Linked DNA regions of Medicago truncatula. Each later gene encodes a partner of the first gene's protein in a complex. Links are inferred from orthologs where the notes say so. Each region holds a gene or a part of one and is shown in the gene's direction. Other genes may lie near its edges. The genes, in order: actin-related protein 2/3 complex subunit 2B, actin-related protein 2 and actin-related protein 2/3 complex subunit 3.

Region 1 (10,710 bases):
TCTTGGATTCTTTGTTTTATAATCTCGCTTGTCTGGCTTTCGCATGCCTTCTTTGCAGCAAACAAACCTACAAGAAGAAACTGAACCATCCTTTTTTCTGTGTGTATAATCTTTCCTCACTCCGAATCCAACCTTACCACCGTAAGTGTTCCAGAACTCCCAAGCATCTTCAAAGCTACAGAAAACCATATCTACTTTTGGCTTCCAATCTTCATTCATCTTGTATCAAAAGTCTTAAAAATTCCTAAAAACAAAAAATGTATATCTTATTTGCGGTAGCCAAATGTATACCTTATTTAATTATAAATGAGTATAAACAATCTAAATTATCATCGTAAAAGAGTATATATAACTCACAAAAGAAACAATTATACATGAATATAAACAATCTAAATTAACGTAAAAGAGTATATATAACTCACAAAAGAAACATATATATAATATTTAATGTATCACATTTTAAAATCAATTCTCAACTCTGTTGGTTAGTTTTTTGTAATCATAAAAGTGAATGAGGACAAACATGTGAAATAATTTGTTTCTTATATAAGTAATGAGGACAAGCAAGTGAAAAATATTACAAGTAAAAGAAATGGATCAACATATGAAATTAGTTATGACCAATGGAGAAAAAACAATAGACGTACCTGAGATTTGAGACAATCGAAAAAGTAAATAAGGGCAATTGAATATTAGTGTTCTTTGTGTTTTGGCACAAGCTAGTTAGTTTTTGCAGCAACAATGAATAACTTCCCTGGTAGAAACAAAATAACGCGCACACGACATGATGTAATTGGGCAGTTTTCATATTTTTATTATTATTTATTTTAATTATTTATTTATTTAATCCAATGGCTCAAATTTAGCAGTAGACATTGCAGCAGAAGATACTGCAGCTGAGGATCCAAATCCAAAAAGACAGCATAGTGTGGTTACATTACAGGTTATGGTAGGTCCTTTCATCCTGCATGACACCATTGAATTCTTAACGTCTTTCCTTATTTAAGAAAGTTTGTTTTGGAACGTTGCTAAGTAGAATCTGAAACTTGTTCATAATTGATGAGAAATACATACACAATCATAAATAAAATGTATTTGAGCACACACATAAAATACTAATCATTTCATCTTTTAAAATAACAAAATAGATAAATGTTTATTTCTTTATTTTTTTTTATTTGTGTGAGTGTATACAAATAAAATTATTTGTGGTTATAACTAAGTAAGTATTTCTCATAATTAAATTTGATCACGGGTTTTATTATATTGGGTTTATTACCTATTCAAGGAATTTTTTTTTCCAGACCAAAACAAAACGATATTCATTCATTCAAATCGATAGATTACATCATATACAAACATCACTAAAAACGTAAATGGTAAATCTGCAAACAAACTCACAGCACCCAAGTTAATAGCATAAAACGGCAAAATGCCTACAAATAATATGATAAAACCTAAGTCACTGAAATTCACATGATTCCGGATCTTCAACCTTGACGCTCAAATTATTGGTTGAATTCAAGGATATAAGTTGTTAACTAAGGCTGCAATTTTTTACTTAGATCTGTATTTAAAGAAATATTTTTTTACATGTAAAGAAATCCATGATGTATGGTTAGCTATCATCTTCTTCATGATTACTATTATTATTAGAGTAAATTACGGTTATCTTCCTTGAAACATAGAGAGATATTACACTCTACTGTCTTGTTATTTAAAACACACTCCATTCCTTTTTTTTATATTACAAAGTGGGCTTAATTAAGGCCTTACAAATAAGAAAACTACACCGAAATTAAATGAGAAAATAGCTTTTCTCACATGTGTAATTGTTTAAAAACACATGGAATTTACGGAATTATCTTCAACGGTAGTTAACCACCGTTTTATTATTTCAACGATAGTTAACTGCAGTTTAAAGTTGGCTTCAACGGTAGTTAACTACCGTTCTTCTAGCAGTAGTTAACTACCGTTGTTATCAGTAACGTAGACAACGCATTCTGCATTATAAAACCAAGTCATTTTCGGTATGTTATAACTTGTAATTAAGAATGACAATCCAAGAGGAAGTAAAACCAATACTATATCAAGTCATAAACAACAAAATTACATAACTTTTCATGATTCAATGAGATTAAATCAATTCGACATCACGTGAACATTACACGAATGATTGAAATTCAACAAAAGTGGTTGCATTAGGCAACACATTACCCAACAATACACTCTGTCAAAAAAAAAAAAAACATTACACAACAATACACAAATAAAGTTAAAAGCCCACAAAATGACATCAAATCTCTACTCACAATCTAGACAGTTGCAATTGAAACGAACATAGAGATATAATATAACACATTAATATTTTCGACCAATGACCTAAACATAAAATCTTCGTCACTGTTGTTACAAATAACCCGATAAGAATAAAATGTATTCTACATGTCTTTATCTTTATCCACCCTAAACATCACAATTTTTGAAGATGAAATAATGGTTGGGGAAAAATCGTAAAAAAATGAAAATAGAGAAGCCAAAATATTAAGTTTAAAAATGGAGCAATCAATCTTATTAAAATGGTTTGTCAAAAAAAAAAAATCTTATTAAAATGGTAAAATAGAAGGGGAAAAAGTTCAATTAAGCTAAGTAAAAATATGTCAAGATATACTTTTATATTTCAATAATTTGTCTACAAATATAATTTAGGGTTAAATATGTTTTTAGTCCCTATAAATATTCCAACATTTTGTTTTAGTCCCTCTAAAATTTTCCTTCAACTTTTAGTCCCTATAATATTTTCAATCACTACTTTTAGTCCCTATTTTTAAATTAATTTTAGTATTTTTTTAATTAAATTATGCAGAAATGTGTAGAATATTGTAAAAATATTTCCCAAAAAAAATTAGAATTTTTTAACAAAACATAAATTTAATATGAATTTTTAACCATCAAAAATATAAAAATTCATATTAAATTCATGTTTTGTTAAAAAATTCTAAATTTTTTTAGGAGAGATTCTTATAATATTATGAATTTTTCTTCAAACTTTTATTTAAAAATGTGAATTCTACATATGAGTTTACTTTAAAAGAGGGATCAAAAGTGAAGATGGAAAATTTTTGGAGGACTAAAAGTTGAAGGAAAATTTTAGAGGGGCTAAAACGAAAAAATTGGTATATTTATAGGGACCAAAAACATATTTAACCCTATAATTTATAGCAATTTCTCATTTAATTAAATATAAATAACGATTTAAAAAAGATTTTTTTTTATATATCATTGTTGATGTCTTTTTTCTTGACAATTCATTCTTTCTTGATGTTATAAGGCTATTTTGATTTTGAGCAATGATATTTGAACAACCATTTGCTAACAATTTCTATGACAACCTCCTTTTTCTCTCTTTTCATTGGTCAAAAACAATGGAGAGAGAAAAAGAAAGAGAGAGAGTAAGAATATAATTTGAGTATGAGAGTGAAAGTTGTCTAAAAGTTGTTAAAAAATAATTGTACAAATATCATTTCTCTTAGTTTTTATTTTCTCATTTAATAGCGACAGAAGAATGGTGTGGTGTTGTTATCATCATCCTTTTTGCGACAAACTATCATTTTCAGCATAAAAAGTGGGGTTCATACGTTGTGCAATGAGAGGAACCCTTCTGGCTTCTTTTGCACTGACCTAAAAGGTAATCCACTGAACATGGACGCAAGATTCCTATACTGCATTAAATGATTAAATGACAAGATTCTTACATTTCAATAATATGTAACAAATATTTTCTTAGGTCACACACCTCTATGTCTGGTGTGAGAGGTAGCAAAGAAAATATGAGCGTTGTCTTGTGGTTGAGTAGAGGAGTGTTATTTGAAGAATTAATTTGGTGACAACTTATTTGACAATTAAAATTTACAAAGAAAAAGTAGTATTGACACGGAAATCATAGCAATAGAAAGATAAAGTAAAAAATAATGTGAGTATGAGAGAGAAAGTTGTCACAATAATTATCACCAAATGAATGTTCAAATATCATTTCTCAGTTAGTAATTGTTTACAATTCAATTGTATGTTTGATGTTCTCTATTTTAAATCTAATTTTAAACTTTTTGTTTGGAAACTTTACTTGTTTAGTTAAATAGTAGTCTCTGTTTCGGTCACATTTATAAATAATTTTTATTTTTTAAAATTTATTAAATAATTGATATATCTAAAATATAATATATGATATATCTAAAATATAATATAGTCCAGATACATAATTTATTTAATGAATCTGAAAAAAATAAAAATTGTTTATAATGTAACCAAGAAAGTAGTTAAGATATTAATCACAATTTTTTTTACTCTATTACACTATACACTTTTGTCACAATTTCGTAAAATCTTAATTAAAATTGATATTAAGAACTATAAAAAAAAAATACAATTATTTTTTTAGTCTATTATTAATCATTTCAACGAAATTAAAAAAAAATATGCATTTATATTATTATCGTAAATAACTGAACTGTAGGAAATTGAATAGTAAACATTTTCAAAATCCATTTGGGATTGACCTAATGTTTGGTTTGGGATCTTGAAGGTTACTCTTCTTAAGGTCTCATATAATGCAAGATAGAATCCCCGCATGGGCAGAATGATTGATCCCCTCAAAATAGTCGATTCTTGGATCGGATATCAAGTTTAAAAAAAAAAAAAAAACAAAATAAGATATATGTGATTAAAAAAAAAGGAAAAATATGTAATAGAGAGAGAGTACTATTAATTAATTTACTTTTATTTTGTTTCAAGGTCAATCTAATGTGGTTCAAGTAAGTTTGTAAGAAGCTACTCTACGTATGTGGTAGAATTATCGGGGAGTGTTGGAAGGCTTGCAATTAGCTTGGATGCGTGTGGTAGAAGTGGAGATTTAGAGGATTCAACAGTTGTTAAAAAAAGCATGTGTGGATCCCCATGAGTTTAGCTCATTTGGTAAGGGATAATGTGCAGGGGTTGAGGTTCGAACCCCGGACACCTAACTTATTCATCTTTAAGGTGAATTTCTCTAGCCACTAGGTTACTTGACCAAAAAAAAAAAAAAAAGCATGTGTGGAATTGCATTTCGGTTTTGTTTTTGTTAACTTTAACGAGCCGTTGTCTCATAAATCCTACCTCAATTGTTAGACCGATGATTGGGGTTCGAACCTCGGTACCTCCATCTTGTATATATGAGTTTACGATGGTTTTACCATTTCTTCTATCTACCAAAAAAAAAAATTAACGACCCGTTGAAATCTATTTATATAAAATATTTTCTAAAAAAATATGTTAAAAAAGCTTGTGATTGTCTCTAAAATTATCAATACTATATTAATTAGTTTCTTGAACTAAAAAATTTGTAATTGAATCTCTATATATATTTAAATAATTGTTTTATTCTTTCAAAAAAAAAAAAATTGTTTTATTACGATTTATAATAATTTACAGTTAGTTACATGAACTTAGGACAAATTAATATAAAGGGTTAATAGTGTTTTTCACCCTTATAATATATGTCATTTCTTGTTTTCGCCCCTATTAAATTTTCGGTTTGATTTGCACCCTCGTAAAATTTTTATTTTCCGGAAAACACCTCTAATAGGCCATTTTTCAAAAAAAATTTCAAGAAATTTTGGTTTTTGAATGGCCTATTAAGGGTGTTTTTCGGAAAATAAAAATTTTACGAGGGTGCAAATCAAACCGAAAATTTTATAGAGGCAAAAACCGAAAATGACATATATTACAGGGGTAAAAAACACTATTAACTCTAATATAAATGAAGGAGTCGAATAGAAGGGAAAATGACACAAAAAAAAAAAAAAAAAAAAAAAAAAGCAAATGAAAAAGAATGTTGAGTGGAAGAGGGTGGCTATGAGGATTTGCTTCAAAGATTACCAAACATGATTACAACACCGAACTTGCATTTCACTCAAACTTCATAATCAAAAAACAGTTGAGAATTTCATATTGTATATAGTTCATAATAAACAATAAAATGTGTATTAACACAGTTTGAGAAGAGAAAGAAGACAGTTTTATCAGAATGGCATGCATTGAGAGATCATCTCCTGCTCTAAAACAAATATTGCTCAAGCTTTATCGGTAAGTGTTTACATTATACTTGTTCATTCATGGTTTAGTATTTAAAAAATAAAAATAAAAGTCAAGGTTTAGTTGTTTAAATTTGTAATTTATTTGTGTTCTTTTCTTTTTGTTTATTATATCTAGCCTCTTTGTTTTGGCTTAAGAAAGAGAGAAAGATAAAAGAATTTAAATTTAAGATTAATAAAATGTGGAACATAAGAATAAAGTATTTTTCAATGAAGAATAAAGTTGTTTATTATATCTATCGTTTTGAAATATAGATATAGCCGTATTTAATTTATAGAGGAATGAGAAAGTTGTTTTTGTTCTAAAGTAAGAAGATGCTCTTCTATGTACGTGATAAATTATTGTTTAAATCTTAGTTGGAATTTTTTAATAAGTCAAAAGAATGTATCAATACTCAAATTTGAAGTACAATATAGGCTAAGAAAAATAAAAATGTTATATCATGAAAAGTCAAACAAAACAACTCAAAACTTAAGAAGCACGCAACACCCAAAACCAAACAATAATTAAATTAGGATTTTTTTTTAAGGAAGCAATTCAATGCATTTCATTAGTATTATATGAGGCTCACTACCAAAAAAAATAATATTATATAAGGTTATTTGAACTAACTAGTGAACAACCTCATTAGCTTGCCTTCTATTAATCTCGGCATGAGAGTTTTGAAATCTATTTTAAAACAACTGTCTACATGTATCTACTATACAACCAAATTCACTATTATCGTTTACATCTGTTCTAAAAGCATCCACACCCTTTTTATACTCTAATGCAAAATCTATGTTATCAAATTGAAGATTTGATGTATACTCCAAAATTGTTATCAAACCAACTGCTTCCCCTATATCAACATCACATAAGAGAAGAGAACTAAGATATTTTTGCAAGCACTAAACTAAGAAAATATTTATATGGTCACAATGATTTAGACACAACATTTGAGTACACACTTAATTGTGTTAAAATACACATTTTTTAATTCTTTTCTATTTTTTTTTAAATATGTGAGCGTGTCTAAATATCGTGCTCAAATGGTTGTGTGACCATTGGAGAAATCCTCACAAAACAAACACACCACCCCTATCACCATCCAAAGCACCAACATAACACTAGTCATTAAACACAAACTCCTAATCAAACAAGTGATTTAGACTACCAAGAAAAATATTTGGTTGATTACAAGTATTTAGACAGTTCACTTGGGCGTGCCCACATATTTAAGAAAAGATAGAAAAATGAATAATTAAATATGTATTTTTCAAATAGTTAATTGATAAATATCTTTAGGTATGTGCCTAAATGTCAGCATCAATGCTCAAATTAGAATAAGATGGATAGTTGATTTGTTGCAATGCTTCATTTAGAAAATGTTGCTGAAATGCTTATTCATCACTTTATTACAGTGCTGAGAAGTCTATAGAGATTGATCATCACTTATACGAATTTGGATCAGTGGAATACCACATTCAGGTGAAACTCTCCTCCACTCACTTATACGAGTTTGATATTTGATCTACTAATGGCTACTTGATAATTTTTGCAATGTTTCTTTTCCGACCCTGCACTTCTCAAAGGCCTCTGGTTGGTCTGAATTATCTGGACCAACCAGACGGCTCTGAGAAATGAGGGGCTGAGAAAAGAAATTCGCTTCAGTTTAAAGTTTGATAATTTTTCTCTTACTTTACAGTCTCAAGCCACTAATCCACTGGTGGCTTACTTGTCAATATCAACACCACCGCTTTACCATGGAAACCTACCAAATAATCTTTCACCATACACCATTGAAATGGTGAAGGGAATTTGTCCCAACCTTGTGGAGATTGAAGAACCTGCTAGAGAAGGATACCAGCTTACTCTAAAGCTTAACCTAGATCAGATTCCAAGAAACAAAGGTTTGTTTGCCTTAATTAACTTTCAGTGGTTGGGTTGCATAATAATTACTTGTTAAAAAGCAAGACCAATGATAATCATGACATTGCATAATAAAAATTTATATGCATTAGTGCTTCTAAGTTTTCATTTTGTAAACTTGCAAAGTGATGTTTGATGATGTAGTTTTGTTTCAAATGAGAATTAACTAGTGAATTGAAAATTATGTTAATTAGACCGTGTTTGGTTTCACGGTTGGACGGCTCAAAACTAAAGACATCATTTATACTCAACAGACTATTTCATGAGCTGTGCAGAATTGATAATATTGCTACATTTGTGTTCAACTAATGCCCTTTAAAAGCTTAGTGGATTCAGATAATTTTGGGTCTATAGTCTATACAGCTTGCTAATGTTTGATTTTCACATCAGCTAAGTTGAAATTTTAACCTGTCTGATGATGAAAAATTCTTGTTTCCAGACTATGTCAAGGTCATTGAGGATATTTCCACAGTTCAATCAGTAATTATAAGTTCACAGCTGAAAGAAATATTGTGTAATGTGAATTCTGATGATGCATCTCAGGGGATGTACAAACCCATCAAACTAGTTTATCATCCAAGAGAACCCTTCTTTGTCATCAGGCAGGTAATTTCTATGTAATCAAAGCTTTGAACTTGTCATAAAAAAGTCATGTTTGGATAAGAGACTTAATTATCCTATAAGAGCTTATCATATAAGTGTTTATGTATAACTTATTTCGATAACAAAAGATAAAATAAAGTGGAATTGTTTTTACAAAAACTTTAAGATGTTATCATAAGCTATCATGGAGAGCTTATATAAATAAGCTAAAAACAACTTATGGACATGTCATAAACTATTTCTAATTTCTACAAGTCCTCTCAAATAGTCTCACAACTGTTTTTGTCAGTAGGTAAACTCAAATAAGTGATTCTAAACAGACTTCTGAATAAAATGAACAAGATTACCATTATATGGAATGATATCATACAAACAACCTAAAACATTATTATTAATCATCAAAGTGACACTAATAGTCATTTTACAACGGTCTCCAAGGGGATTCGAACTACATCCCATAAAGTTATAGGTCAAACCCTTACCACTGGCTTGACACTGTAAACTTGTGAGGACCAACATGAAATGATGATATTGATACTGTAAACTTGTGAGGCATCACATCATCAATCAATTATTTCAACTTGGAGTAAGTTACTGATTCTAAATAAATCACAGTTTGAGTAGTCAACAAAACTATTTATGAAAATCTATTCCTTTTATATTTTGTAGGTGTTTAGAAAATATTTCCGAATTTAGTTACATTCCAGCAAAAAATGATACACTAGTAACCAAAGACAGCTCACCATTGTATTTGGTCAGCAAAAGTTGTTCATATTCTAATGCCTTACAAGTTACTGATTCAATATTGATCATATACTGCATACAGCAACAGAGAATCATAGCAATATTCCCAATTCGTTTCAAAGAAAAGTTCGACGTCGTTATTGCCACGGCTTTCTTTCAGGTTTGCAGCTAAGAAATCAAAAATATGTAATCTAGTTTCAACCCAATATACTCTCAGCTCACTTGTTTTACTACCTATGATAGGAGCTCGTGGATGTTGGAAATTCAGATAAATGGGTAAAGACACCACCTTGCACCTGGTCAGCCATTCCTCCACCAGAGTTGACAGGAGAAGCTTTAGAGGATTTGAGTACAAATGGAGGGTTTGTCTCTTTTGGTATACTATTTTCTTTCAGCAATTACTCCATGAACTACTTCTCTACAAGCGATAACTTGATTACATGATCATAGTTTTGAACTCTAAGAATCTGATTGGACTGACTTATTTGAACTTATATACCAACATAAGTACTTGTGAGACTATTTGAGAGAGCTTATGGAAACAACTTACGACATTTTCATAAACTTTCCAGAATAGCTAATGAAAACAGCTTATAGCTTATGTGTATAAAAAATTGATTTTATTTTACCATTTTTTGTAGAAATGACTTATACATAAGCACTTATATGATAAGTATTTATATTACAAGAGCATATCAAGCCGTTTATCCAAACAGGACCTAAAATCAAATAAAATGAGATCGAGACAAGAAATGTTGAGGAAGATGGATTCCAAGACATCCGCGAAGTTATTAACATTTTTCTTTTGGTATTTTGTAGATATCTCTTCTCGGCATATTGAAGGCAATAGGTTAGACAAAACTGTCTGGAATCTATTAAATTTTAATGCCAATGTTAGATACCATGTAAAGGTAACAATAACAATAATAATAATAATATTGTTTCATAAGGACTACTTCCAATTGAAAATCACATTTTTCTGACATATTCGACTGACATTTGTACTACAGAGCACCAAAGGTTTCATTCAAAGAAGGATGAGGAAACGTTTGGAAAATCTGGTTGAGGTACGCAATCACCTGAATTGCACAATACGTTTATTGTTTAAACAAAGATTCATGTACATGCAACGCTGAAATTTTATGTGCACAGTGAGACCTCAATGGGATCCCTCAAAGTGCCTACTAAAATATATGTTATGCTATGAAGAACTGACACAAAAACAGACAATGACACATCGACACTAGTAATGAGTTGACAAATAAATAATTAAATGTAACCACATGAGTTGATGTGGTGTCGGACACCAGACACACCTTCAAT
Region 2 (10,362 bases), on another chromosome or scaffold:
TGTTAGTGTTGCACATATATGTCAAAAAAACTGTTATTGTTGCATATCTAAGAAGAGGACTGTTGGACTATTCAACATTTTTTAACTCCCTTTTCATTTGTTTCTTTGTTATAAAAGTTAGTTTTCACTACTTAATTTTTCCATTCACATTTCACCTCTTTTTAATTTTTTCTTCTATACATTTTATTTGCAAATAAACCCCAATCATCGTGATTTTTGGTCAATTTAATGCAAAATTTAGCAATTCTCCATGTATCTCAAGTCAACAAAATGTCTCATCCTTTGAAAATGCATCCAATGTCCTAAATACACAAAATAATCAAGACTTTGAAATTACCCATATCATACATCACCTTATCCCATCAAGAATTTTCTTCTAAATCAAATAATCTCAATATGCCTCATGTGATTCAAATGGGTAGTGGTGGTGTGCAATTAAAAGATCAAGAGCTTGAAATACCACATGTTTGCACTCAAGGTGGCTTTGAAACTATTAACCTTAATAAAGAAATTGAAACTATATCGATTGTGAATAATTCGAAAGTAAGATTTCAACGAAAGGAGGATGGACTTCCCATTCAATTATGACTCAATATTTCAAAGGATCCGAATGTTAAAAATGATCAAAAAGGACAGTTTTTGGAAGAGAATTGATGAAGCTTATAATAACCATCACGACAAGAATTTTCAAGATAGGAAACCAATGAAGCTAAAAGGTTGATGGCACAAAAAGATTAATCCCTCTGTTCAAAAGTTTGTTGGATGCTACAAAGATGTTGTCGCTATAAAAAAAGCGGTAGCTGCAAGATCGACACAATTTCAGCTGCAAATGTTTTTTGTTTGACTTATATTGAAAAAAGAATTCTATATTTACAATACATGAAAAAATATTGCAAAACTACCCTACTTTTTATCTTTTCCATTGTTCCCCGCTAACCTCGCTTGAGTGGTATATTTCCCAGTTGTTTTCACTTGTGGGTATAGCACAACAAGCCTGAAATTTGTTTTTTTTTCTTCTATTTATGGGCCCCTACAAAACTTACTTGCAGGGTGTAGAAGGTTGTTTTTCTTATTTGATCTACTATTGATACTTTCAACAGTGTCACATATTCCGTGTACTACATCCTAATTCATGACAAGTGAGTTTCTAATATCTTCAAGAGGGATGATATATATACCACCCCATGTGACAATACACCTTTTACATCCACACAAAATTCTGACATGCGGCAACTTAAACCCCACACAAATAGAAGATAAAATGTGGTTGTGAGATGAACTTACCAAAATATCTCTAATGCATGGGTGTACAATAGGATATAGGAATAAAGGGTGTTCATGTAACATTTTCCTATCTCCAAATTCAACATAATTACACTGTTCGAAATAACAATTCTTCACACTCTAATAGTAATATCACACTACAGTATCAAACTCTAATAACTCTAAAAAACACACTACAATTTCAAACTCTAATAACTCAATTTAATAACTCGTAACATTAAACTCACAATCGACATATTAATTTATCTATCAACCTTTCACCTGAAAATTTATGCATAAATACCACTTTTTTACTCACAATATTCACTTAAGTTACCGCTCTCAAACTCTTATTTTTACACTCAATATTCTCATATTACCCGTCTTCTCAATTATTTCTTAAACAATGAATTATTTATGGTTAGGAGATAATCATAGGTCTAGGCCACAACACCTTAGATAATGGGTAAAATTATATTTTTAAATCTCTTTTATTTTGTTTTTTATTGTTTTAATAATTTTTTCTATTCTCTTATTTTTTTTAAATTTCGTTTTTGATATTATGTTGCTTATTAAATTCAGTTTTATATTCGGTTAATAATTATGTAATATTTTTTTTATTATGTTTATTTTAACCTTTTTCTTATATGCTCCCTCCGTTTTTGTTATTTTGATGTTTTAGAACTTCAACTATATTCCAAAATATTTAATGTTTTAGTATATGTAATATTTTTTTTTCAAATTTACCCTTGTTGAAAAAGACACCATAAAATTATTAAAGGAGTTGTGACCTTTGATTTATCACATGTGAATTTAATTATAATAAGGACATTTTAGTCCAAAACATACAAATATTTATGTACTTTAATTACTTCTTAAGATTTGTACCAAGAGCTAAAACATCAAAAGATAAAAAATAGAGGGAGTATCTCTTTATTTATTTTTATTAGGATGAAAGCAACAAACATTTCAACTTCTCATCTACAAAAACACAAAGAACCAGTCTACTAATTTTAGGGTGTGTTTGGCCCAGTTTTTTGAAAGTCTAGAAGCTACTTTAAAACTAAAGTTGCTAAAAAAACTTTATAAATTAAGTTAAAGTTGATTGGTAGTATCTATTTGACAAAATTATACAATTTATCTTTTAATTTAATTTCAGTTAACATTTTTGTCCCTTAATTTTTTTATTTAATCATTTATGTTATAAAATATCAACATCACGATCCTTCCTTTATTAAAAAGATTAAAACTAAAAAAAAAAAATCATAAGCAAACTCATATCTTCATCACACAAACCTATAAATCTAGATTTCATTGAAAAATCCTTATAATGAAAAATCAAAGAAAAAAAGAATGAAAAAAGATGAAAATATGTTTATATTGTTGGAATGCTGAGTTGATTATAATGAGAGAATATTTTTTAGGAATTCTAGTTTTCTTTTTGTAAAAAAAGTATAACGATATTGATTTTATAACATTAGGGAAATGAACTGATATATAAAATAAAATTTGCTTGAATAATAGATAAATTGAAGTAAACTTGGACCGTCATAATATTCCTCAAGGCTTAGAAGCCCTCTAGAAGGACTCAAACGCCCTCCGGACGGGCCCAAAGACCCTCCAGAAGGCTCCTTGGGCTTAGGCGCGTCCTCCTGAAGGATGCCGCCTTCTTCAGCTTCTAGAAACCACCCAAAGTACCTAAATACCCATGTTGCTTGGAAACCAAGCAACAAGAGCCCAAGCCCACAGCATGCTATAAATACCACTCTTGAGATCATTCTCAAGGATCGGATAATCAGTCTAAACCCTAGTTTACGATTCTTAACCCTAGAATCTCTTATTGTGCTTTTTGCAAGTACAAAACTATCCCGCAAAAAAAATTGAATAAACTGGGTGATATGTGAGTAATACATATGTAGGGAATTATTAGTAAAATAATAATACAAAATTGTCTTTACCAGGGTTCGAAGATGGAAGCACATGTAAATGAAGCGCATAAGTTGATACAAAGTTCCTTTCAATTCCTTTAATTGAAGCTCCTATAATTAAATTTTTCTTCTTTGAAAATAATTTACTTGTTTTAGGAAGAGCTTCTCCCAAATGTTGTTTGCCCCTACTTCTTCTTTAAAGTAGAAGGGAAGTCAAGAAAAGGCAGGCCAAACAGACTCTTAGACCAAGCAGGTTTTCTCCATGTTAGCAACATAAAAGAGTACAAAATGGATAGACATATCCTAAATGCTCTAGTTGAAAGATGGAGACCCGAAACACACACGTTTCATTTTCCAACGGGTGAATGCACCATCACCTTGGAAGATGTATTCATGTTACTTGGTCTAAATGTTAGTGGATATGTCGTTACAGGTGTAAAATCAATTGAGAGGCCACTGTATGATGATTTTTTGGGATTAAAATTCCATTGCGAAATAAAAAAGAGGGTAAACATGCTATATCAATGTCACATTTAGCACAAAATCTCAATAAAGACCTCATTGCCGATGTGTTGGATAAAATAAAAATACAAGTTACTAGGCGGTATATTCTATGGCTAATCAATGGTTTTTTATTTTCAAATTTATCTGGAATAATGTACATAATTGTTGGTTGGCCATGGTAGTTGATTTTAATGATACAAAACAATATAGATGGGGATTAGTCGTTTTGGCCTATCTTTATCGGGGAATGTGTGAAGCAACAAACCCTAAATTTGTATGCTTAGCTGGCTGTAATTTTCTCCTGCAAGTTTGGGGATATTCAAGGTTGGATTATTTGGCTCCCAAAAACATAAAAGAACTTAGTTTTCCATTTGGAACAAAGTGAGTATATTGTTATTATGTTTTTAGTAGTATTTGTTCACATTTGAGAATGCATAGAGATTACTAAAAGATGAACCCAAGTACATATTTGTCATCTTCTAACCCACAGACACCAACAAGCGAATACAATCCACCATCACGTGAAATTGGTCAAAAATCAGCCAAAAGGAAGGAAAATGAAAAGATTGTGCATATATCTATTCCTAAATTTGATGCTTTGAAAAATGACTTGAACAAAAAATTTGAATTAATGTCAAGGTTTGCGCGTGATTTTGCACGTACTGAGAGTGAAAAAGTTGAGAGAGAGATGAAAATGGTTGATGTAGAGCTACACAAGACTGAGAATGATAGGGAAATGATGAAGATCATGATTTAACAATACTCTAAAAGGATGTATCAAATAGGAATACAAGGTAATTACAAGATTATGAATTTTTGTGTGGCATGATTAGACATAAATATGAACTTAATTGATATTATTATTTATGTTAGACTTAATCGATTAGAGGGATATTATAATTTTTAGTATATGATTAGCAATTTCTATGTATGTTGTACTTAATTATTATTTATGTTTTATTAATTTATATTTTTATAGTTTTAGTATATGAAATATAAAAAAAGCTTCAAGAAATATGAGCAGCATATTGCAGTCAATGTGTAAGACTAATTATAGTATACGCAGGAACGAAATAAAATGAAATATTGCAACCAATTAAAGTATAAACCATATTATAGTATTTGAGACGTGTATTGTATATAAACCCTATTACACTATTTAAAATCATGAATTTTAGTTGAACTAGCTGTTATTCAAACTCAATTTTAGTCAAACTAGCAGTTACAAACTAACCGTTACTCAAAATAGCCGTTATTCAAACTAGCAGTTATTCATATCCCTATACATGTTATAACATATATAACAAACTTCACAATCGTTTCCAATTTCATTCCCTTAAAAAAAACATTTTCAACTTCTCTCTTTATTCACATTCAATATCAAACTTCTCTTCATATGGATCCTTCCAATCCATCCCATGTTGCAAAAATATTCATGGATTATATGAATGACAACATGGATGAAGACCTTGTGAGGATTTACTTTGAAAGTAATACACAAGAAGAGTTTGTGAGCTCAAGTAGGTCCAGACGCCAAAGAAGAAACATAGAAATCATGAAGAAGGACATGAACAGTTATTCAATGATTATTTTTTAGAAGCTCTAGTTTACACGGATGAGCAATTTCGTCGAAGGTACCGAATGCGTAAACATGTTTTCCTTCACATAGTTGAAACTCTTGATCAACATGATGAGTATTTTCAGCTGAGGGTTGACGCACCGGGTAGATCAAATATTTCACCCATAAAAAAATGCACTGATGTTATTTGTATGTTGGCAGATGAAACATCTGCTGATAGTGTGGATGACTATTTGAGAAATGGTGAAACCACGACACGAAAATGTGCTGATAAGTTTACAAGGGGAAAACCGTCTCAATGCTGCAAAGAGAAAAGAGAATATTGTTTGCCCAATATCAAGAAGGCTCAAGGAAGGATATCTACACAGACTCACCATTGGATTAGAACAATTAAGTTTGAATCTGATAAAAAAACTAGGCAGGAGACAAGGGCATAGTGAGAGTAACATCCAAAAATTGCTTCTCTTCCCTCTTTCTTCGCACATGAACGAAGTAGAAAAAATAGGTGGGACCCATAGTACTTTTATCTCTCTCCCTAATTTCTCTTTTGCACCAAATGAGAGAAAAATCATTCTTCTCTCCTTATTCTCTCTTGCCTATTTCATACCTACCAAACAGACCATTACTGTTTCATGTTTTTGCAGTATTAAACCTTCAAAAAAAAAAAAAAAAGTTTTTGCAGTATTAAGAAATGAAACGACAAAGTAGTGAAGTCGTTTAATCAACTTCCACTGACTAGACATTCTAACAAAGAGTCCCCACCCACCCCCCAACCGTGCTTGCTGCTCACATCTCCGCGCGAACTCAAACTGAAACCCAATTCTACCGATCGCACCTCATCATGGACAGCAAAAACGTCGTCGTTTGCGACAACGGAACCGGAGTACCTCTCTCTCTCTCTCTCTCTTCAATCTCTTCATTCATTTCAAAATCAAACTACATTTCAATGGATCCAATAAATTACCGATCTCAAATTAGCATCAAACTTTATACATTTCATTATTTAACACTTTATGTTTCTTCTACTTATAATGTAATTGTTTTATTTATTTAATTCATCATTTATTTTGTGTTTCTATTTAAAATTTCAGTATGTGAAGTGTGGTTTTGCTGGTGAGAATTTCCCGACTTCTGTTTTTCCTTGTGTGGTGGGGAGGCCAATGCTCCGATACGAAGAATCGCTTACCGAGCAAGAGCTAAAGGTATGCAAAACATGATTACTAAGTTTTTTCAATTATGATATGTATGTAACTTGTTTGATCTATGAGATCAAATGTGGTTGTTATTATTATTATTATGAATTTCAATGTTCTTAGTTATTAGTGATTTTCCATTCCTAGTTGTTGAGAGTCACACATTGATTAGAGGTAGTGGTTATAAACCATTTTTGTGGGATGAGTTAGACACTATTTGGATTGACTTATTTGAGCTTATCTACTGATATAAGTTTTCTGAGACTGTTTGGGAGAATTTACGAAGGAGACTGTAGATACTGTAGTTACAAGAGTAGATCAGAAGAGGTTGAGGAAGACCTAGGAAAACTATAAGAGAAACTTTTAGGAAAAATTTAGAGGTTAATGAGTTGGATCCAAATATGGTTTATGATACAACATTATGGCGTAATTTGATCCATGTAGCTGACCCCACTTAGTGGGATAAGGCTTCGTTGTTGTTGTTGTTTGGGAAAATTTATGAAAACAACTTATGACAATTTTCCCAAGTTCTCATATGTTGCTTATTAAAACAACTTATAGCATATAAAAAAGAATTTAACATCATTTTATTTTTTTCTATAAAAGTAGCTTATGCAAGCTTATACATAAGCGATTATCATGATAAATGTTTGCGCTATAAGCTGCAAATAAGCTGTTTATCCAAACAGGCCCTAAGCCTAAACTGTAAGATGATATAAGAGCTTATTCCAGATTTGTTGTTGGTCCAAGATCTCTGTATAGAAGAAGATTATTATTTTTATTGAATAACAATAGAATGACAATAAAATAAAAAAGATTTATTTTTATTCATAATAGGATCCCAACAAAAGCGAACCTCGCACATAGGCAAGTTTTACCACCGGAGAGCTCTTTACACTGTGTGATGGGGTGCTAGAGTCGGCCAGCCATTTGTTCCTACATTGTTCTTTTGCGATGAAAGTGTGGGATGAAGTTAAGAGATGGCTGGGTTTTCATTATGCGACTCCACCTAATTTATTCTTTCTTTGGGATTGTTGGGATAGAGTTTCGACCAACAAAAATATCCGGAAAGGTTTGAGGATGATTTGACATGCGGGGGTGTGGAGTATTTGGAGGGCCCGAAACGACATAATTTTCAACAACTCGATTGGTGAAGTGGAGGAGGTAATGAAGGATGTAAAGGTTCTGTCGTGGAGATGGTGTTTAAGTCGGTTGCAAGGGCCGGCGTGGTTGTTCTATGAGTGGCACTGGAATCCAAAAGCATGTCTGCTGCGTTAGGGGCGCTGTGTTTTCGAGGCTGAGGCTGTGGTATGCGGTGCCTGCGGTTAGGTTGCTGTCAGTAATGGATATAACAGCATAAGCTTTGTTGGGATGCAGCATGTTTTCGGCTGCTGTCATTTGTTTTAGCAAGACTAGGTTTTTTGGGCTGATATTGGTGCTGTGTTTTTGGGGTTTTCCGGTATGTCGGTGACCTTGTATTATTGTTTTTCTGTCCGCGAGTTTGTTGTGCATCTTGTACACTCTCGACGTGAATAAATTTTGCTGATTCTAAATAAAAAAAACTCGTAGGGTGTGAAGTAGGAGGAAGAGTAACTTATACCATCAATGACAATGTTAAAGAGTGAGAAGAAGAATCACAGAGAGAGAATTGGGATAGAAAAGGAGTGAATTCACTTCATAAATCATCCATTCCTTGGTTTCACATTCCCCTCTCAATTCAAACAATCTCTCAGCCATGAGTTTAGCTTTGCCTTTGCCCACCTCTCACCTCCTAATTTTCATGACTTCCTCTAGCCTAATTTTGATTCCTTGTAATTGCCTTGCTGTCGATTTCCTTCAGCTATCGATCCACCATTCTCTAATCGACTTGCCTTTGCTGGCAGTTTCATTGCACTATGTTATTCTACGTGCATTTGTCCACATTTCAAATGTCGGTTTTTGGGGTTTAGTTAAATCCTAATTTCAAATTCTAAGATGATATTAGAGTCTAATTCATATCTTTTATTAGGCCAAGAATTTTCCACTTGCACACAGTATTGTTAAATGGCAGCATGGCGGAATGGCGTGGTGGAATTTTTGAAAACTGCCATGGATAGTTTGCGCAGGAATGCCCACCACAGGCCAACTGCTTGCTTATGTGGCGAACTTTTGGCCTTTCGTTTATTCCATTATCCGCCATCGAAAACACTGCCTGCAATTTTCCATGCTCCAAATGTCGATTTGTGGGCGTGAGAATGTAATAGAAATCTACAAGTGGAAATGAACAATGGGAAAGTATTTGAAGGGAATTGATTGTATTTTATTGATTGAAATGATGAACTCAGTTAAAAATAAGTATCCCTAAACTGCCAAGAGCAATGCTCCTTACAGAGTGATTCTCTCTGTCCAATATAAAATGTAACTCATTCTTTCGATACCCTTCTTACTCCCTACTGCTCCCATGTATTCGGAACTACCAGCACCTCATGCTCATGCGCTTGACAATTCTGTTACACAAGTTTCCAGCTCAGCTTTTCCATTTTCTCTCTTATTCTTCCTCTAATAGACCCTCCACACAGTCGGCCTCACATTTGGGCCTGCAGATAAATGCACTTCCGTATCAGAACGTATCCCCATTATTCCACCCACAGTAATCCACACTTTAGAATTCAAATGTCCATTTCTAAACTTAAGGGAGTGTGTTGAAAATATCGCCTATAGATATGTCCTAGGTAGTGTTTATAATGCTTTGCTTAGGTTGTTTTTGTCTTACTAGTCAGTTTTGCATTGTTGAATTAGGCCTTAAGCCTAGACATCATAAACAATTACATATACACTTAATTACCCGTTTTTAAGATGTTGCTCGGGTCTCTGTGAGATTTATTATTTATTTACTATTTAAATTATGTTCTATTTAGGATATTGTTGTTGGCGAAGGATGTGCAGACCTGCGGCATCAGCTTGATATATCTTATCCTGTGAACAATGGAATCGTCCAAAACTGGGATGACATGTGTCATGTGTGGGATCATGCATTTTACAACGAATTAAAAGTAACCTTCTGGTGCTTCTTTCTCATTGCTCTTTCAACTGTGAATATTTGATTTCGTAGCTAACTCTGGTACACGATTTTTCTTGACAGATTAACCCACAAGACTGTAAGATTCTACTCACTGATCCGCCTCTTAATCCCTCAAAGAATCGCGAAAAAATGGTTTGTGGGCCAATCTTGTTACCTTTTGCTAATTTGTTTTTTGCATAGTAATTGTTTATGTGATTTGACCTGGCAGGTGGAGACAATGTTTGAGAAGTACAACTTTGCTGGAGTGTTTATCCAAATCCAAGCTGTTCTAACATTATATGCTCAAGGTGCTTATAGAGATGAGTGAAGGTTGATGTTTTGTTGTTTATTCACCTCATCCTAATTAGTTTACACCTCATAATTGCTATTACTCATTCTTGGAAACTACAAACTCTAATTATAACGTATTTACAAACCTTTGATATTTTATAATGCATTATGATTTTGTTTTATAAACCATATGCAGCAATGTTATATATCCTAATTTGCAAGGCTTTGAAATAGGGCTAATTCGCGCTTCCTTTATTATTAGGTCTCTTGGGAAACTTATTTTTCCTTTATCAGTATGCATTCTTTGTGCATTCATAACATTTCTTTGGTTGTCTCAGGTTTGCTGACTGGATTAGTTATAGACTCAGGCGATGGTGTCACTCATGTGGTAATTAATTAACGTCTATGCTTCTTAATTATAATTCTGGTCACTGCAATGGTTATTGCTGGGTCCTATCTCTTATATTTTTATATAACTATGTTGTCATGCTCTACAAGCTTATGTCCTTTTGGTTGCTCATAACAATTGGTGGATTTGATGAGTTAAGTAACTAAATCAAACAT
Region 3 (10,744 bases), on another chromosome or scaffold:
CACAACAGCAAAACTGGAACCCCACGAATGATTAAACAACTCAGCAAAGCAACTAACACTTTCAATTTTCAAACAAAATAACAACAACGCAAAGATTCGAATCTTCCGTTTAGAACATTCCATCACAAGTAACAATCTAACGGTTCAAAATCCAACTAAGCTTCAACAAAAATTCCATAGCATAATTCCAGCATCACCACAACATTAAAACAAACGTTGTTCTTGCTAACTTCTTCTCTCTAATTCTTCCTCGTATTTCGACAACACTTCCACACCAATCATTTTTTTCACCTCTCTCTGCCGGAGAAACCTTGTTCCGGTGGTGGCGGGAACGAGGTTTGTTTGACCGTTAGGTGTGTCCACATGGAGGTTTCATACGTGTCACCGGAAAGCTCTAAGGTTGTGTCACCAAGAACACTAAGAAAGTCTATAGTGGAAAAAGTGTTTGGAAAATCGTATTCCATTAAAGGCAGTGGAAGCTTCAAGAAACGTAGTGAGTCTCAAAGTTCTATCAATGAAGATAATGAAGGTGGCATGGAACTCATGGAAATTGGAGCAGAAAGAACAAAAAATGTGTTGATTCTCATGAGTGATACTGGTGGTGGACATAGAGCTTCTGCTGAGGCTATTCGTGATGCTTTTCAAATTGAATTCGGTGATGAATACAAGGTACTTTAATCACACTTCCTTCTGTTTTGGATCTGTTGCAGCTTTTGTTTTAAACTGTGTAGATTTTGTTGTGTTAGAGTTTTCTGATCTGTATATTTTTCTATGGTTCACATGTTTTTGTCGTGTCTTACACTTTATTTGTACGGATTTTGTCGTTAGGTACAATCTTTTTCTTGGAAGCTATCTCTCTAAAGTCTTAAACTTATGTTTATGTTTATGTTTATGTTTGTATGCTAATTTTGAAATTTCAGATATTTGTTAAAGATGTATGGAAGGAGTATACAGGGTGGCCATTGAATGATATGGAAGGTCAATATAAATTCATGGTTAAGCATGTTCAGTTATGGAAGGTTGCGTTTCATAGCACTTCCCCTAAATGGATTCACTCTGTCTACTTGGCTGCCGTCGCTGCCTACTATGCAAGGTATATTCCTCTTGTAATGCTTTATACTTTCATGATTAATTATGATTATTTCACTTTGCTCACTATTCATTTGTTGATAATTTCTATAATAATCATTCTTTATTGCTTTGTTAAACAGCAACAATTATTTGATTTGACATCTTTGGAGAAATTCATTTTAAACAAATAAATATCAACTAAACAGTTGATGTCATGTGTATATGAGTAACATGATATGCTGGAACATCTATTGTTGACTTAATTAGACATTTTATGTTTATGTAATCATAAGTGGTGTTTTCTGATTGACAAACTGTCATTGTACTGTAATTTTCAGAGAGGTGGAGGCAGGGTTGATGGAATACAAGCCAGATATTATAATCAGCGTCCATCCCATGATGCAACATATTCCACTATGGGTTTTGAAGTGGCAAGGTTTGGAAAAGAAAGTTATTTTTGTCACTGTTATTACAGACCTTAGTACCTGCCATCCTACTTGGTAAGTTCATGCTTCATGGTAACTGGTTGTTTTTCTTGCCTTAATGTCAAGTCGATTAATTAATGCTTAAGTACTCAAATTTTTAAGCTTTTTGCAGGTTTCATCCTTGGGTGAATAGATGTTACTGCTCGTCAGAGGAAGTGGCAAAAAAAGCCTTACTAGAGGGACTTGAGGAATCTCAAACCCGAACTTATGGCTTGCCAATCCGGCCTTCTTTTGCTCGTGCAGTTCTTGTTAAGGTATTAAGCATATTTAAGGTGTAAGTAAGTTCTGTTTTGATCTCATTGATGGAACAGTGGAACTGAGTTTCTGTTTATTGTAGGATGAACTAAGAAAAGAACTTAAGATGGATCCTGACTTGCCAGCGGTTTTACTGATGGGAGGTGGTGAAGGAATGGGTCCGGTCAAGAAAACTGCAAAGGCTCTAGCAGAATCACTATATGATAAAGAAAATGAGAAACCAATCGGGCAGATTGTAGTCATATGCGGTCGCAATAAGAACTTAGTAGCTTCTGTGGAAGCTATCGAATGGAAAATACCAGTGAAGGTAATAACTAATGAGGGAACAATTATCTACAAGTGAGCATAATAGGAAGACAGCCACTGAAAAAATGTTAATGTTTCTTTGTTTGTCTAGGTTAGAGGATTTGAGACAATTATGGCCAAATGGATGGGAGCATGTGACTGCATCATATCAAAAGTAAGTTATACCGATTTCCTCTAATGATTTCATGCAGGGTTTTAAAAAAAGGTCCAAAGGTGATGATACAGGCTGCAACTTTATAGTTTTTGACGTCTTTTTGCGTTTGAGTCTGTATCAGTCACATATGATTGCAATTATATGCAATATCAGAAAACGCGACTTAAAAACCCTGCTTTTATATGTTACTTTATATGCTAGCATATGCTTATTGATTCTGTGAAATTTCAGGCTGGACCAGGAACAATTGCAGAAGCATTGATCAGAGGTCTTCCTATAATCCTCAACGACTATATCCCTGGACAGGCGAGTTATTAAATTATTCCCGTCATTGTATTTCTTACTTTCTCATTCCAACCTTATATTGATTCTGAGCTACTATGGTAACTACAGGAAAAGGGTAATGTGCCTTATGTGGTAAACAATGGAGCTGGTGTCTTCACTCGCAGTCCTAAGGAAACAGCGCGAATTGTTGCAGGATGGTTCACGACAAAACAGGACGAACTAAAGACAATGTCAGAGAATGCGCTTAAATTAGCGAACCCTGAGGCTGTGTTTAACATCGTGAGGGACATTCATGAACTTGCTAAGCAACGCGAGCCGGGGAACTTTCCTTACGAGTTGACCTCATCATTTACTAGCATAATCTAATTGATTGTTTATCGGTTCATCTTTCACCTTAGTTTTTTATTTTATTTTATTTTTAGAATTGACATGTATAGTGAATTCTTCAAGTTACATCATTCTTTACCGTATAGTGGCTTGCTTTTAGTATCATCATAAGCTAAAAATCTGGTAAACAGGCCATTGTTTTAGGAGACTGGGATTTATTTAGGATATTTGTGGGAGAAGATGGGTTTGTCTTGTAACTGTGACATGGTTTCGCATTCTAGTGTGTATATCAGGTTTTTCTTCTCCTTGGAACTCTATACCTTAAAGAGTACAAGTTTTCAGCTATTCCGCAGTACAAGATATCTTTAAGAAGCATGTCATATCAATTCTTACCTTCAAAACCTGAATAGTTTGCAGTTATAAGGTTGCTTAATGTCAATAACAAAGTGTAACATAAGGTGATTATATTTTATATATCCTTACAGTCTTAGCTTTGAGACTTTAAAGGCATGACCAAAGACAATTTGAGCATAAGCAAAGAAATCAACGTATTTTGCTTGGATATTTGAATGGACAAAACTTAAATGCAGGAACATAAAGAACATACATTGCATATAAGTGTTGCCCTTTTTGAATTTGCCGCATTTCTTATGAAGATGAAAATATAACAGTGAAAAAGAAGGGTAAAGTTGACACTCTTTTAAGCTATAGTATGTCCATTAATATAGATTTCAATTTTACCAAACACAATCACACAAGTTTATACTTTATTGTTCTGTTTAAAGTGACACGTATCATGAGTATCAGAACTACCAGCAACTGCAAAAAAAGCAAAACAGAACAGGGTGTAGAAAGCTGTTAGATAACATGCGACCAAAGGACTGGTAGTTGTTGATCCTTGAAAAACCTTTGAAATACTATCTTAGAAAATGAAGCAAAAAAACCAGAAATATATATTGCTTACTAGTAAACCACTACTTATTACAGGTGTTTATTGTCAACTGTTAGTTGGTGACAGATTGTTATCATGCGAAAACACATACATTGATTGAGTGAGACAAAATAGCACTGTTGTTTTAAACTGTATTTCCGCTTGCACTTGATCATATATTATTTTTTTAGATATATATGCCATGTTGAGTAAGATAAAGCCAAAAAATAAGGTAAAATTCTACAGCATATATAGCAAGGAAACCGTGGTTATTATTTTAACTTTGCCACCACTAGGATTTGGAACTAATGAATTGAATTTGGAAAATGATTCTTGGTGTTGATGTCACATAAAGTTCGTAATGTGTAGTACTTCCAATATTTCTAATGTTTTTCTCTACCTCAAAATTCCCAAGTGGCCAATAGTATATTTATTTTTGTTGAATGCGACGTATTTTAATACTCACACACGATGACCACGAAGATGTATAAGCAACATCTGGATTAAGAAACATAAATATCTGGAAAATGAAAATCAGATGTATATTATTCGGACGCAAACAAAGTCTATAAAATACATTCAATAAATATAAAAATGAAAAGCGTGTGTTGGCGTCAACTTTTGTGTCGATTTCATATTTCTTCATAAGAACATAGCATGTTTATAGCTCAAATTTTTGTTCTTTACAAAAAGCTTAGCAACAAAACTCACATGTTTATAGGTCCATAAATGTGTCCTACTATCTTATCAAAAAGCTTAATGGTAAATCTCACATCACATCCGCCTGCGGAGAAAGTGAGCATTGCAAGTTTAAACATTTGTTCCATCCAATATATCAAGTATCCCCACAACCTTTCATCATTTGGATTGTATTTATGAGTTATAAGTAAAGTCAAAATAAAGATTATTCTTTGATCAAAATTTGAACTCAGTTCTACCGATTCGATATACTCATTACCCACTCCATCCAACCACGTGGTTAAAGTTAACGAGTTAATAAATTAACTCATATATTGGTTATTTATTTTATGCTAAATCACCGTCAACGATTCGACATTGATGGTTTTGTGCACTTTTGATTCTACCTTATAAAATTTTAATTTTTTAAATTTGATTTTAGTAAAGTGAGTTGAATACAGGGTTGGTCCTAAAAAAATTTGGTACCTTGGATGAAACAATAAACACTAACCATGCCTTATAAGTGAAATAATACAAGGGAGTTCAAAACAAGTTGATGGTCAAAACCATCAAAAGAAAAGTTTGACAGATATTTTTATTATTAAGAAAATAATTTGTATTGTTTATAAAAGAAGCATGTGAAGTCAGCAATCTTGGCATTTAGGCTGATTAGCTATTCGTCATCATCACTCATAAACATAGACAAAAATTAATAATTCTCTTGATGTTCCCCTTTCTTAGTATGTTGCGTGAGGGCAACCGTTAAAAAGATAATATATCCAATGTGAATTTTGTGGCAACTTGCGCTGCAAGGCAAAATATTACCTGTCAAGAAGGTAATATTGGGGCCATGCTTGCATTGGACCTGAAATTATTGTGGTAGCAAATTCACACCATTTGCCGTAATAGCAAAGGTCAGCCATCGATCTATGTTATGACGGTTTCAAATTCATAGCACAATTTTCAATAGTGTCACACAATGTTAGATCTTAACTGTTCATTTTAAATCGAACGGTGCAAAATATATAACTACTATGTCCCGTAGTAAGTGCGTTATATCCAAATCCTACTTGCATTATGAGTGCAAAGAAGGTTTCAATTGGCCAAATGAATTTGAGTTTTAGGTAGTCCAGGCCACATCAAACATTTGTTTTTTTTTTGGTTAATTTTTTATGGTATCCGACTTAACAATTTCGATATTTTGCCAGTTAAGTTAGAACTTGTGTATCATCAAACATCCGTTCAACATTAATAAGAATAAATTATTAATTTACTTTTGAAAAACCATCACTATCTCTCGAATTTTGTCCATAAACTATATAAATTTAATATTTAAATATGAATTTGATATATGCAACTATACAAGATGGTATTTTTTTTTGTGTGTTAACCCTCCACATCATCTCTAGAAGAATGAATTTTGTAATTCGGAGTTCGTATGGAGATAAATAAAGGTCAACAAGAATTGTTACACAAAAAACTAAACAAATTCAAATTCTTCTTAACAATTTGTCATCAGCGAAGTTCATTAATTAACTATCTGACTTGATTGTTTGATTAATATGTTTATTCTAATAGTAATAAAATTAATTTACCCTACATGAGTAGCACATCTTTGAGTTAATTTAATAAATAATGGAAAATATATTCAATATTCAATGTTTTTAAAAATCGTTTTTTAAGTGCAGTTTAGTTGATAGTTCCATGAACATTAAAATACAAGGGTCAAATTTAAATCCTAAACTTTCAATTTTTACTGTGAGTCTAACTATTAGACTACTCCACAACAAATTTTTTTTGTCACACAAGTGTGCACTCAATGTATTAATAGTAAAAAAAAATGGTTTTTATTTATAGAGCACAAAGACCAAGATGAATTCTAATATGGTCACAAGATCAGATAAATAGTGTTTGAACATACATATATAAAAAATATATTTTTAATAATATAAATGATATTGATAAAAAAACAATTGAATATTTTGAAGATAATCTTTTATATGTATATGTTCAAGCAATATTTATTTAGTCTTAAGAGATAGAAGAATAACTCTACCCATAAATAAAACTTGTGCCTTAGACATAAGTTAAGGAAAAAAAAAAGAATTAATAAATTAATTTTATATTAAAAATATATTTCTTAAACTTTTTACATCATTAAATACACGAGTTCTAAGAATTTTTTTTATTTTTAACTTATTAAGTTGGTGCTTTATGAGCGAGGGTTAACATTTCCCATAAAGAAATGAATAAACTACTCAGATCCGATTTTACCAAAGTTTACGTGTTGACAATCCCGATTTCATTCGATGTCCCAATAATTCTTCACTTCAAGCTCTGCACAATTTGTTTTAATCAAACTTATCATCGAAATCCCAAACAAGTGCATACTATTTACGTGCCTGTATTGTTTCTTTCACATTTCCACAAACATTTGGTGGGTTTCAATTCAATTCTTTGAGTTCTCACCTAACCTTCTTGTTATCATCACCACATAGAAACATGGTACGTCAATTCATTTCATTCTTATTCCTAATAATACCCTAATTTTGATTCCCAATTAAATTAATTGTTTGTTTATGTATGAATTAAGGTTTATCACTCTAGTTTCGTAGACGATGAAGGAATTAACAGAGCTTGTGGGTGCCCTCTTCTTCCTCTAAAAAGTCACATTAAGGGTCCAGCTCCTGTTTCAGATCAAGGTTTTCCTTTTCCTTTTCAATTCATTGTTTTTTGTTTTCTGCGTTTTTCAGAATGTGAAATATGTATTTTGTTTGTTGTGAATGGTAGATAGAACTGATATTGTGGATGAAGCAATCACATTCTTCAGAGCCAATGTGTTCTTCAGAAACTTTGATATCAAGAGTCCTGCTGATAAGCTTCTAATATACTTGACTTTTTACATCAATGTTGCTCTCAAGAAGCTTGAAGGTTGTAGAACTTTGGCTGAAGGAACCAAAGCAATTATCAATTTGGGTCTTGAAAATGTTCCTGTTCCTGGAGAGTCTGGTTTTCCTTTTCCAGGACTTTTCCCTCTTCCTCAATCACACAAAGAAGCAGGTACCTATTCCACACATATGCTTAGTTTATTTAGCGATCTAATGTTGCAATGTGTTATGTTATATTGTATCATTAGTTGTATTTTGTTAAGTAGTTTCAATTGTCTTCGAACTTGTATTTATTTCATTCAGTTTCTTACTGATGGTTTTGATGATTTGATAGAATCTTTACATTTGCTACCTTAATATACTTTATAGAGAAATGCTATTTGTTACGAAGGATTTATACAAAAAAAAAAAAAAAAAAGAATTCCTAAAAATAGGAGATTTGAACGATCAGGTTTTGGCTGACCATACATTGGGGAGTGGGTGGTTATTATTAGGAAGAATTACATAGTATTCTTGTGTTTATTGTAAACCTTCTCTTGTAGCAATAAGCATTTTCCTACTTTAAATCACGTGATTAAATGAGTGGCTGAGTGTGCTTATGTCTCGTTGCATGGCTTTTGTTTGAATGATAATATACTGTATCACTACTTGCTTCGGTTGACACTAGGAAAATAGACAACAACCATTCCTTGTATTTTATGGTTAGATATGCATATGATTACTGTAATTAGTGAGTAAATACCCAAGTTGGTCATTGAAATTGCAAGACTTTATCAACCTAGTCCTTCACATAATCAATATTCCTAACTGATCCCTGAAATTGTAAAATGTTACTCAACTTCGTTCTTCCGTATATACTATCAAATGCATCCCTGACATTATTCACTTAGTTCCAAAATCCTTCTTGATATTACCAACTTAATGTCATTCTAGTCCCTACAAATAACAACAATGGGACAGATTTGATGAAATTTTGTAATTTCAGGGGCCATTTTGGAATATCGATAATGTGAGGGATTAGATTGGTACAATCCTACAATTTCAAGGACCAAATTGAGTATTTACAGTACTCTTTAATTAATCATCTAATATTGTGATGTGTTATGTTCTATTGTATTATCAATTGTATTAGAACTTCGAGTTTTTTCATTTAATTTCTTACTGAAAATTTGATAAAATCTTTACATTTACCACCTAATTCCCTTTAAATCAACAGAATGGCCAAGTGTGTCTCATTTGCGACTTTTGTTTGAATGATAACACATCGTATCTAAATATCAATGGTTGGTTGGGTTGATAATAGGAAAATACATGACAACAATTCCTTGTATGAACCCCTTGGATTAGTCAGTCCTTGGGCCAAATACCGAGTTTTCAAAAAAATAAAAAAGGATATTATGCATAACACCGGAATGAAGCTAGATGGGCATGTGTCGGTGCCAAATGCTGATGCGTCGGCATTGGTCATGACTCATGAGACTTCTAATTAAATACTCAAGTCTGGAAACTCTTGTTCAGAAAGAGAGAGGTTCATTTTAAATAATTGAACAATTTCTAATTGGGTTACATAATCTGGATGTTGTAAATTTTGCAGTGGTCCTTAGGTGGACTGGGTGTTTGGATTTCAACTGCAAGAAATAGAGGATGATAAATTTTTCCCACGATAGAGTACAATTTGTACTTCCCTTATAGTGAAAGCTCCTGAGAATGAAAACTTCAGTTGTATTTCTTTTTGCATGTGAAATGAATTTTCAGAATGTACTTATACCAGTATATTAAGGTTTCTTATTTCCTCTTATATTTTTGTCTTTGAGCCTTTCTGTAGAGTCAAGCCGAGTGCATTTTTACTTATTTATGCAACTAGCTGATGATCTATCGATGATTGAACTGTACATTTTAGCTTTTGGTTTTCTATTAAATGTGACTGTAACCAATGTTTCTTGATGCAATTGCATTTCTTTACATGATAGTTTGATTGGAAAATTGTATACATATTGAGATAGCTGACTGTACTCCACATGCTGGCTTACAATGAACTTGATTTTTTGTTGTTTTGAGAGGACATTGAACTTGAATATTGTTGTTGTGTTCAATCTGGTTGATGCATTATTGCAATTCAATTAACTTGTTTGTAGAACACATGTAGTCTTATATGTAAGCTTTGTGATTTCAACAAATGCAGAATTGTTTAGAAATTATTTGAAGCAGATAAGGGAAGAAACAAGCGGAAGGTTACTAAGCGTTGCATACAGACCTAATGGCACTCCAAATAAATGGTGGTTGGCATTTGCAAAAAGGAAATTCATGAATGTAATCACCCGTTGAACTGTTTTGGCAAATATGTAATTGCTTGAATCATAGATTAAGCTGTCAAAAATACACTTCAACACTATTGATCTACCAATAAAAAAATATAATAATTCTTGAGGGGCATGTTGCTTATCTGTTTTGAATATTTTATTTTGAAAATCCTCAACTACTGCTAGCTAGGTAGAATTCATAATGGCAATCGTTTTCACGTCTACTTTGCTCCTCATGCTGAAGTGAGTGATCATAATTGGGCTATAACCCTAACCTTTGCTTGTGCCGGTGGTGCTGGTCATGTTTAGCTGTTGTATTGTCCATGAAGTTATAGCAGAATTGCATCATCTATACTACTGCTTCATTGTATCTCCAGTATTATATAGTATGCATTAATGTTCACTACTATACCTTCAAGCTTCAAGATTTATTTTACTTCTGTAAAAAAGAAAAGTTTTCTTTTATTTCATTTTTCAGAATACTAATTCTTCGCGGTTGTTAAATTTGATAGCTATTTTTTTTTTTTTGTTAAGTAGCCTAGTGGTTAGAGCTCACACAATTTAATTGTGGAGAAGTGGAGTGTCTGGGGTTCGAACCCCGACCCCTGCATATAATATGCAATATCTCTACCAACTGAGTTTAACTCACGGGGATATTTTGATGCTATTTTATTAGAGCTCAAACTGGTTTTTGCAAAGCAACTTTACACTCTTTCTAAAAAAACCAAACGTATTAAAGTGTACTTTCGGTTAGGAGAAAATTGCGTTTTTTTTTTTTTTTGAAGTTATATTTTTGGTGGAAAAGAATTTCTTTTTTTATAATATATAAAAAACATATAATTTTAGAGTGACTTTTATTTTGTTCCATCTTTAGAAGTGACTTTAAAACATTACCATCACAGATAATATTTGATAAAAGTACTATATTCTTTAAGTGACTTTAAAACATTTATTTAGAAGTGACTTTAATTTTTAAAGTTAATTTGCTTAAAGTACTTTTCTTGTTCTGTATTTAAAACATTTCTATAGCTTTCTTGATTTGTATTAAATAAGCAAATGCATCT

Evidence for each region.
Region 2: actin-related protein 2/3 complex subunit 2B (region 1) and actin-related protein 2 share a complex: the UniProt entries of both Arabidopsis thaliana proteins name them as parts of the arp2/3 complex. The link is inferred for Medicago truncatula from reciprocal best matches to the Arabidopsis thaliana genes arpc2b and ARP2.
Region 3: actin-related protein 2/3 complex subunit 2B (region 1) and actin-related protein 2/3 complex subunit 3 share a complex: the UniProt entries of both Arabidopsis thaliana proteins name them as parts of the arp2/3 complex. The link is inferred for Medicago truncatula from reciprocal best matches to the Arabidopsis thaliana genes arpc2b and ARPC3.

The regions. Positions count from the first base shown.
Region 1 is NC_053042.1:17,367,125-17,377,834, reverse strand, and holds the start of actin-related protein 2/3 complex subunit 2B, read left to right. Parts: upstream 1-5,969; 5' UTR 5,970-6,061; coding exon 6,062-6,120; intron 6,121-7,532; coding exon 7,533-7,599; intron 7,600-7,816; coding exon 7,817-8,021; intron 8,022-8,479; coding exon 8,480-8,646; intron 8,647-9,469; coding exon 9,470-9,547; intron 9,548-9,630; coding exon 9,631-9,763; intron 9,764-10,206; coding exon 10,207-10,298; intron 10,299-10,397; coding exon 10,398-10,454; intron 10,455-10,710. Other genes in the region: protein FAR1-RELATED SEQUENCE 5-like, read right to left, coding at 1-219. UniProt on the Arabidopsis thaliana protein: Functions as actin-binding component of the Arp2/3 complex which is involved in regulation of actin polymerization and together with an activating nucleation-promoting factor (NPF) mediates the formation of branched actin networks.
Region 2 is NC_053048.1:9,627,435-9,637,796, reverse strand, and holds the start of actin-related protein 2, read left to right. Parts: upstream 1-5,989; 5' UTR 5,990-6,115; coding exon 6,116-6,157; intron 6,158-6,365; coding exon 6,366-6,476; intron 6,477-9,364; coding exon 9,365-9,499; intron 9,500-9,588; coding exon 9,589-9,660; intron 9,661-9,736; coding exon 9,737-9,815; intron 9,816-10,136; coding exon 10,137-10,186; intron 10,187-10,362. UniProt on the Arabidopsis thaliana protein: Functions as ATP-binding component of the Arp2/3 complex which is involved in regulation of actin polymerization and together with an activating nucleation-promoting factor (NPF) mediates the formation of branched actin networks.
Region 3 is NC_053045.1:56,010,513-56,021,256, reverse strand, and holds actin-related protein 2/3 complex subunit 3, read left to right. Parts: upstream 1-6,718; 5' UTR 6,719-6,994; coding exon 6,995-6,997; intron 6,998-7,085; coding exon 7,086-7,194; intron 7,195-7,282; coding exon 7,283-7,552; intron 7,553-8,974; coding exon of another isoform or gene 8,975-9,021; exon of another isoform or gene 9,022-9,347; intron 9,348-9,562; coding exon 9,563-9,705; 3' UTR 9,706-10,045; downstream 10,046-10,744. Other genes in the region: monogalactosyldiacylglycerol synthase 2, chloroplastic, read left to right, coding at 364-669, 921-1,093, 1,410-1,571, 1,669-1,810, 1,894-2,118, 2,209-2,271, 2,503-2,577, 2,665-2,922. UniProt on the Arabidopsis thaliana protein: Functions as a component of the Arp2/3 complex which is involved in regulation of actin polymerization and together with an activating nucleation-promoting factor (NPF) mediates the formation of branched actin networks.